Linked DNA regions of Macaca mulatta. The protein of the gene in region 1 binds, or shares a complex with, the protein of each later gene. Links are inferred from orthologs where the notes say so. Each region holds a gene or a part of one and is shown on either strand. Other genes may lie near its edges.

Region 1 (2,577 bases):
AAAATACTTCTAAACTGCCGTAAGCCCTGAATTGTCAAAATATTTAAAAATGTATTGTTTCTTGCTTGAGACAGTTTGTCTCCTTAGATATTACTCAGAACAAAGACACCTGTTGAAATGCAATTGAAGTCATTTTCTAATATCTAATATTTCCTGGAATTCTCCCAAGATCCAACCATACCCAAAGCAACATTTAGGTCTACACTTGGGTAAAAATTCTAAGTTACTTTATTCATTTTCAATTCACTATTTAGTTTTTCTCCTTTCTCCTTACTTTGTAAAAAATTTACCACCAACTTTCAATAAAATAGAGATGGATTCTTTTCCTGGGTCTGGTGACTCTGTTATATATGAAAGTACACACTACTTTCCTAATGTTTTTGGACATACTTTTTCCAAGAAAAACATAATTGAACTGCAGGTCTAAAATCAAAGCTGAATTCACATACTGATGCTCCCAATTCAATGTTTACTCAGTAATGCAAGAACCTATGCTTTTACATCAGGATTCCATGGCTGCATCCAAAGCACTCAAAGGAAAAATGTAATCTGACAACATAAGAAATAATCCCCCTATAACTGTTTATTAGAATGTGAATATATTCCAAATCAATAACTAAAAAAAAAAAAAAAATCAAATTACAGAGCATGCATAAAATACAAAGTAGCAATTTACAAACAGATAATATTATCTTCATAACCAATACACTAAAATAATAAAATGGCTATAGAAGAAAACCAAAATGACTGACTACAGCAATGCCTTCCGTGTGCCCCACACATCATGAGCACTGCAAGAGACAAAAGATTAACTATGAAATATAGTAATCTAAGCAAGCCCACACATACATATTTCGGGGGATTTCCCACCATCCTGAATAGTATCACTGCAGTTGACACACCACTTCCAGGAAACTGCAGAGTAAGTGCTTAATATTATCCACGAGAAAGCAAAACTAAATATTAGTGTGCACATTTCTGAATGAGAAACTAATTGCTTCATGGATTTCAACAATGTACTATTTCAGGTCTCTACAATGCCTAAAATGCATTCTATTTAAACTCAAGGTACTATTTCATTTTACATACTAAAAGAATACATGCCTTTAAGTGGTACCACTTGAGCAAAAATTAACCTCTCACTGTATTCTTCAGACATACTGAAACCAAAGATTTAACTGGACTATATTCCATAATATACTGCAAAACTCAAATATTAGCATTGTTAAAATAATTATCCATGCCTGCTGGTGGATATGGTGATAAAACTAGGTTGCATTTCACTTACTGGAAGGTTTTAAGACAAAATTAACACTTCAAAATTTGACACTACCAGCATTAAACCAGTTATTGCCTGAGCAATAAAAGGCCACATCATCTACTGCTTGGAAATTATTATAGATCATTTAAATCTTTTGGGCTGCCTGATCATTGCAACAGAGGCACCTGAGATGGAATTCCACAAGTCCCTCCAGTTCCCAGCCTGCCAGGCAGCACTGTTTAACTTACGGCCCCATAACCATACTACTAATGAAACCGTAACAATCTCTTGTGTTTACTAAGAGAATTCTCCAGAAAAAGTGCCCCCCCTCTCTAATCAACTTTGATGCTTACAAAAATTAAAAAACAAAATTTACTCAACTACATAAACCTATTAAGGCATTTTAGAAATTCATGTCCAGATAATGGAAAATTTTCAAGCTCTCAAAATCCTGCTATGTTTATAGGGCAATTCTTATATTTGTGGAAATATACACTGCATTGAAAGAAGAGTGTATTACCGATAAGCTGCTCTGTGGCAAAATGGTAACTTATTTCTAAGGTCGTCTTAGTTTGATTTGATCAAGACCAATAGGCCTGAGCTTCAAGTGATCAAGTTCTATTATGTCCTACGTACAGTGACAGGCTTCCATGATAAAAAGTAAACAATAATTGAGGAATCCAAACATTCAGTTTATTAAACTAAGGCTACTGAAGCCATAGCATGAAAAAAAGCTGCAGTCATTCGGGACAAGTAGATGATTTTATAAAGCTAAAATCAAAAGACTTAGGACATGGAAAAATTCATAAGTATGAAGTAATAAAACACAAAAGTGACACAAGAATTACAAATATATTTAAATCTCAGACCTGGGAAATGGACTATACACAGCCTTCTAGGGGAGAAGAGAAATGCCTTAGATGTTCTGACAGCACTGCACCTTTGGCTTGTTTTCAGTGGTTGGTGGAACATGAATAGGAACCACATTGTTGCTTGGAGACATGTCATTTTCGCGTCTGTCTGACATTTGCTTCTGAGAAACAATGCGGTAAATCTCTGAAGGAAAAAAGAAATCACAATACTTAGCGTGAATAACCTATCATAGTTAGGATAAAAGATCCATAGAGGTAGGAGATATATTTGCATCAAAGACCATAAGGAAACTGAACAGAGAATACATAAATTTAAAGTTTTATTTTCAAACAGTCACTGATTAGGTTCAACCCTTTAACAATTGCCCTTGGGGTAAGAAAAGAAACAAAGGTTTTTCCATTTCAGAGGGAAAGGTTCACCAGTCAAATAAATCTCTGTTTAAA
Region 2 (4,146 bases), on another chromosome or scaffold:
AACAGCTCCCTGCACTGGGAAGCTGCGCTGAGAGTCCCTTCCAGGCTCTGACAGTCAATTCAGTCTCCTGAATACATACAGTGGTTGTTCAAATTTGCTGATGGGTGGTAAAAGCAACCACTACTGGAAAGGGGTGGAAACTAATCAGAGGCTGTGATGAATGCTAACTTGTTTACACTCCGGTTGGAAAATGCACATGAAACCTAAATCAAGTTTTAGTCTTCCAAGATTTTTCCCAGTAGGAAAGGCCTTTCCAGTCTAAACAGCTTTTTGTTACCATTATAATTATATTCTATGCACAAGCAGACAATAAAGAAATGAGCAGGAAAGCAGAAGGTGGGGGTGAGTTATTAGGACAGGAAAGTCAAGAAATGGTCGAAGTCAGAGGAAACAACACAACCTTTCCAGGACAAATGGCAGGAACCGCCCTGAACATGTAAGAGATTTTGTGAGCTCATTCATTATTCTTCATTAAAGAGTTCAGCTAATTTTCCTCTCTATCCTTTCAGTCACATGAAAACTTGGGGCTTAGGCGTTGTGTAACGCTCTGCACAGACTTGATTTAGGCCCCATGGAGCTTCCATAATGAAAAACAACATGTGAAATTGGATCCACATGCGTTCCGCCCACAGGTTGAGCTCAGTGGTGTATTTTATTCTGTCAGGGAGCTGTTGCTCAACTCCCAAGGAGGGGGGTCCAGCAATAACCCTCCAGCTATGAAGACAAAATTAACCAGCCTTGTGCCGGTGTGAGTGACATCACTTCACCAAGAACAGGAACTCAGCTCTCTGTACCTCGAGTTCAGTCTCCCGTCTGTTGATATCATCCGTGGACTGATTTAACTTCTCCAGTTCTCCCTGGTGAAGAAAAGAGGGAGAGAAAAAGACTTACGGGATCCGTCTTTTGTTTCCAATATAACTCAGTCCATAACCTGAAAAATTATCCCAGCCCAGTTTGCAGGAAAAGGGAAGAATTGGTATTAATTCTTAAGGCAAACAGTTGAGGCTTAGCTAGAAAAGCAAATGAATGTCAGCATTTCTGAAACCATTTTCTTGAGGGTATCCTTTTTGACAATGTCTTCAGAGACATTTGGAATTTGTCAGAGGTCAAATATTCCAGGTATGTGCCTTCAGGTAAATCCCACCTGTTACAAATGGTTTAATGGCCTCATCAAAACAGCACCATCTGCCTTGAGCAAGAACTTTGCTTAGAAAACAATAAAAGACAATAAGCAAGGCCAGGCCAAAAATATAAACCCAGTGAAATCATCAAGGGCAGAATTCTGGTATTAACTCACCAGAATTATTTTTCTGTAAAGGGTGAAAATCTTTTCACACTGCCAATTATTCAACCTACTTAGCTGGATGTTTTAAACTAGCTTTAATCCCATTCATTTCAATAAACATTTACAAACTGACATTTTGTAAAAAGCATCCAACATGAACTTAACTCATCTTTACTATGCAAACAAAGGATCTTGCTAACATAATCCCATACCAATAACACACGATTTATTCCAAACCAATTATTTTAATTAATAGCATTCCTAATGCAAGGTTTTTTTTTTCCACCTGATCTTTATCTTGCTAACCTGACAAAACAATTCATTTAAACCCTAACCACTGAGTTAAGTGAGCTTTTAAATTGATCTGTGCACTAAAAAACCAATTAGGGATCCAGAAATTACAGAGCATGCTTAAAAGCAATTTTTTAAAAATGATTTACTGAAAAGGTAGAATAAAACGGGTCTTAGAAAGGGATCTGCTCTGCTTTTTGCTTCGGGGTGAAGAGGTTAAACTGTCACTCCTAGATCTCGGCTTGGAAATTGTTTTTTAATCATCTCTCTTGGAAATGGAGGCACAGTCAGCCAGCCCAATCCCCTCGCCGCCTCCACGCGTCAGCTTTGCGCATCAGTTGTCCCTGATTTCTGTTCATGCCCAGCCTCACAACAAGGAAAAGCAGGGTTTTAAGCAATTTCAGGCCAGGCGGAACGTTGAGCCGGTGGTGACAGTAAGACGCTCAGTTCTCTAACAATGAATCAGAGAAGGAAAACGGCTCAGGCCGGGCACCTTGGCAGGTGAGGACTCTGCACCCGGGGCACCAGTGCCAGCCCGCGCTGCAGGGGCGGGCAACGCCCACCCGCCTACGGTGCCCGGCGCCCACGCGGGCGACCCCTCCTCGCAGAGCCTGGAGGCCATGCCTTGCCCGCGGTGCCGTGGTGGCCGGGCGGGGGGTACCCCCGAGGATACCATGGCGCCCCCGCCCCCTTTTTCCCTTTGTTGCACATCCGCCCGAACCACCAGGCACTCTGCGGCGACCCCGATCCTGCTAGGGGTCTGCGGGGGGCTCCCCGCAATAGAGTCAGGCCGCATCCACGCGGGCACTGTAGCCTCCTCATTGTGGAGACGATGAAACAGAGCATACAGATCGTCTCCTGCCACCGTATGTGGCCGCCAGTCCCCAGACCACAGTCACTGGGGGCTGCGAAGTGGATGTACGCGTAGACGCCGACCTCCGCAGCAGCCCTCGCGAAGCCCGGATGCGGGGTGACCCCGCGCGCCCTACCTGGATTCGGGGATCCACCTCTTCTTCCTCCTCCAGCCCCTGCTCCATCCCCTTTTCCTCCTCCTCCTCCTCGTCCCGTGCAGGCGGCAGGAGCTCGGCTGGCTCCTCCGAGCGGCTCCGCTTCAGTGCCGCGTCCATGCGGGCAGTCGCCACGCGCGCCGCGCAGTGGGCTCCGGAGCGCCCTGGAGGTAGCGGCCGCCACAGGCTGGGCTGGAGCCGCCTCGCCACAGCCGGGCACGATCAGGGAGCCGCCGGGGCCGACACCCGGGAGGCACAGCTCGCCGATGCGGATCCCTCTGGCCGCGGCGGAGCAGAGGAAATGGGCGCGGCCGCCCCCTTTCTGCCGCGGCAGTCAGCGCAGCGCCCGCTCCGCCCCCGTCCCGCCCCGGCCGCGCGCTCCTCGGCCAGTCCCAGCTACCCAGGTCTCCGTCACAAAACCCCAGCTCCCTCCACATCTCCAAGGTGGCAAATTAGGAGAGCCCCCACCCCCTTGTAACTTAGCAGCCCGGATATATCTCAACTGCGTAACGCAAGCCTCCCGCTTTCGGGAGTCCCCTTCTCCCGCCCTCCTCCGAAGCGCGTTGTGTGTGGTAGGAGGCGTGGGGTGTTTTCACGCTGAAGTCGCCTTCCGAAGCCTGGGCTTAGTGACCCTGGACCTCAGGACCAAGACTTGCCGAAACCCTGTACCCAAAGGCACATTCCTCCCCTTGAGCGAACCTTGGGAATGGCACCTACTCAAAGATTTCCCCAGAAAAGCAAACTAAAATGTGCGCTTATATAGACACAGGAGTGTAGAGAGGAGAGCCAGCTGCAGCTCCGTGCACGGATGCATCGCCGAAGGCTGCGGCCTCTCTGGGCGAGCCCCGTACCAAACACAGAGGTGCGGCGGTCCTACCTGAATAGCCAGGAAGCATGGAGAATGCATTGAGCTGGGATGCCTGTGGGCAGACACAGCCTTTTTAAGGAGGTGGCAAGTGTAACCCCTGTTGATGGGCACACTCTGGCCAAGAATTTATGAATTAGTGAGACTTCCTGCCCACCATCAACAAGTAGGGAGACAGAGTTGGCCTGGCAGACACAGCATCCGAAAAGACCAAACTGAAGAGGCATGTGTGTGCTTTTATGAAATGTCAGGGCCACTGTGATGTCAGGGGAACCCAAAGGATGACCTTGGCAAAGCAGGTGAGCACATAGCTGCTCACATCTCCTTCCTTTGAGAAATGCAGAACGTGCACATGTTCTACACGGAGGCCTGTAGCCCATCTGCTCTGAGTTTGGTGGACAAATTTGCTTGAGAATGGAGCTTCTTTCTGAGAACCTATCATCAAAACCACCTTACAAAACCTGTGTCTGGCACGACATGGTAGCTCATATCTGTAATCCCAGCTCTTTGAGATGCCAGGATACAAGGATCACTTGAGGACAGGAGTTCAAGACCAGCCTGGGCAATACAGCCAGACACCTTCTCAAATAAATAAATAGTCCTGCTTCTGGTGGTTTTATCAAAAAGTAGGCTAGAGGGTTACTCCTAGGGAAAGGCACCACCCCATACACGCTGGCACTATAGTCCACTGTCAAAGG

Evidence for each region. The genes of interacting proteins can lie anywhere in the genome.
Region 2: the proteins of RAB11A (region 1) and SH3BP5 are in contact, whole or in part, in a crystal structure (PDB 6IXV), measured with the Homo sapiens proteins. The link is inferred for Macaca mulatta from reciprocal best matches to the Homo sapiens genes RAB11A and SH3BP5. Residues at the interface, in NP_004654.1 of Homo sapiens: Tyr8, Asp9, Tyr10, Leu11, Lys13, Glu35, Phe36, Asn37, Leu38, Glu39, Ser40, Ser42, Thr43, Ile44, Phe48, Lys58, Gln63, Trp65, Tyr73, Ile76, Ala79, Arg82, Gly83; in NP_004835.2 of Homo sapiens: Asp42, Ile45, Gln46, Leu49, Glu50, Asn53, Thr56, Ile59, Asn60, Glu63, Thr64, Glu67, Lys240, Tyr243, Leu247, Leu250, Glu251, Ile253, Ser254, Asp255, Ile257, His258, Arg261.

The regions. Positions count from the first base shown.
Region 1 is NC_133412.1:43,337,848-43,340,424, reverse strand, and holds the end of RAB11A (ras-related protein Rab-11A), read right to left. Parts: intron 2,318-2,577; coding exon 2,178-2,317; 3' UTR 620-2,177; downstream 1-619. UniProt on the Homo sapiens protein: The small GTPases Rab are key regulators of intracellular membrane trafficking, from the formation of transport vesicles to their fusion with membranes.
Region 2 is NC_133407.1:33,153,784-33,157,929, reverse strand, and holds the start of SH3BP5 (SH3 domain-binding protein 5), read right to left. Parts: upstream 2,882-4,146; 5' UTR 2,704-2,881; coding exon 2,566-2,703; intron 858-2,565; coding exon 795-857; intron 1-794. UniProt on the Homo sapiens protein: Functions as a guanine nucleotide exchange factor (GEF) with specificity for RAB11A and RAB25. Inhibits the auto- and transphosphorylation activity of BTK. Plays a negative regulatory role in BTK-related cytoplasmic signaling in B-cells.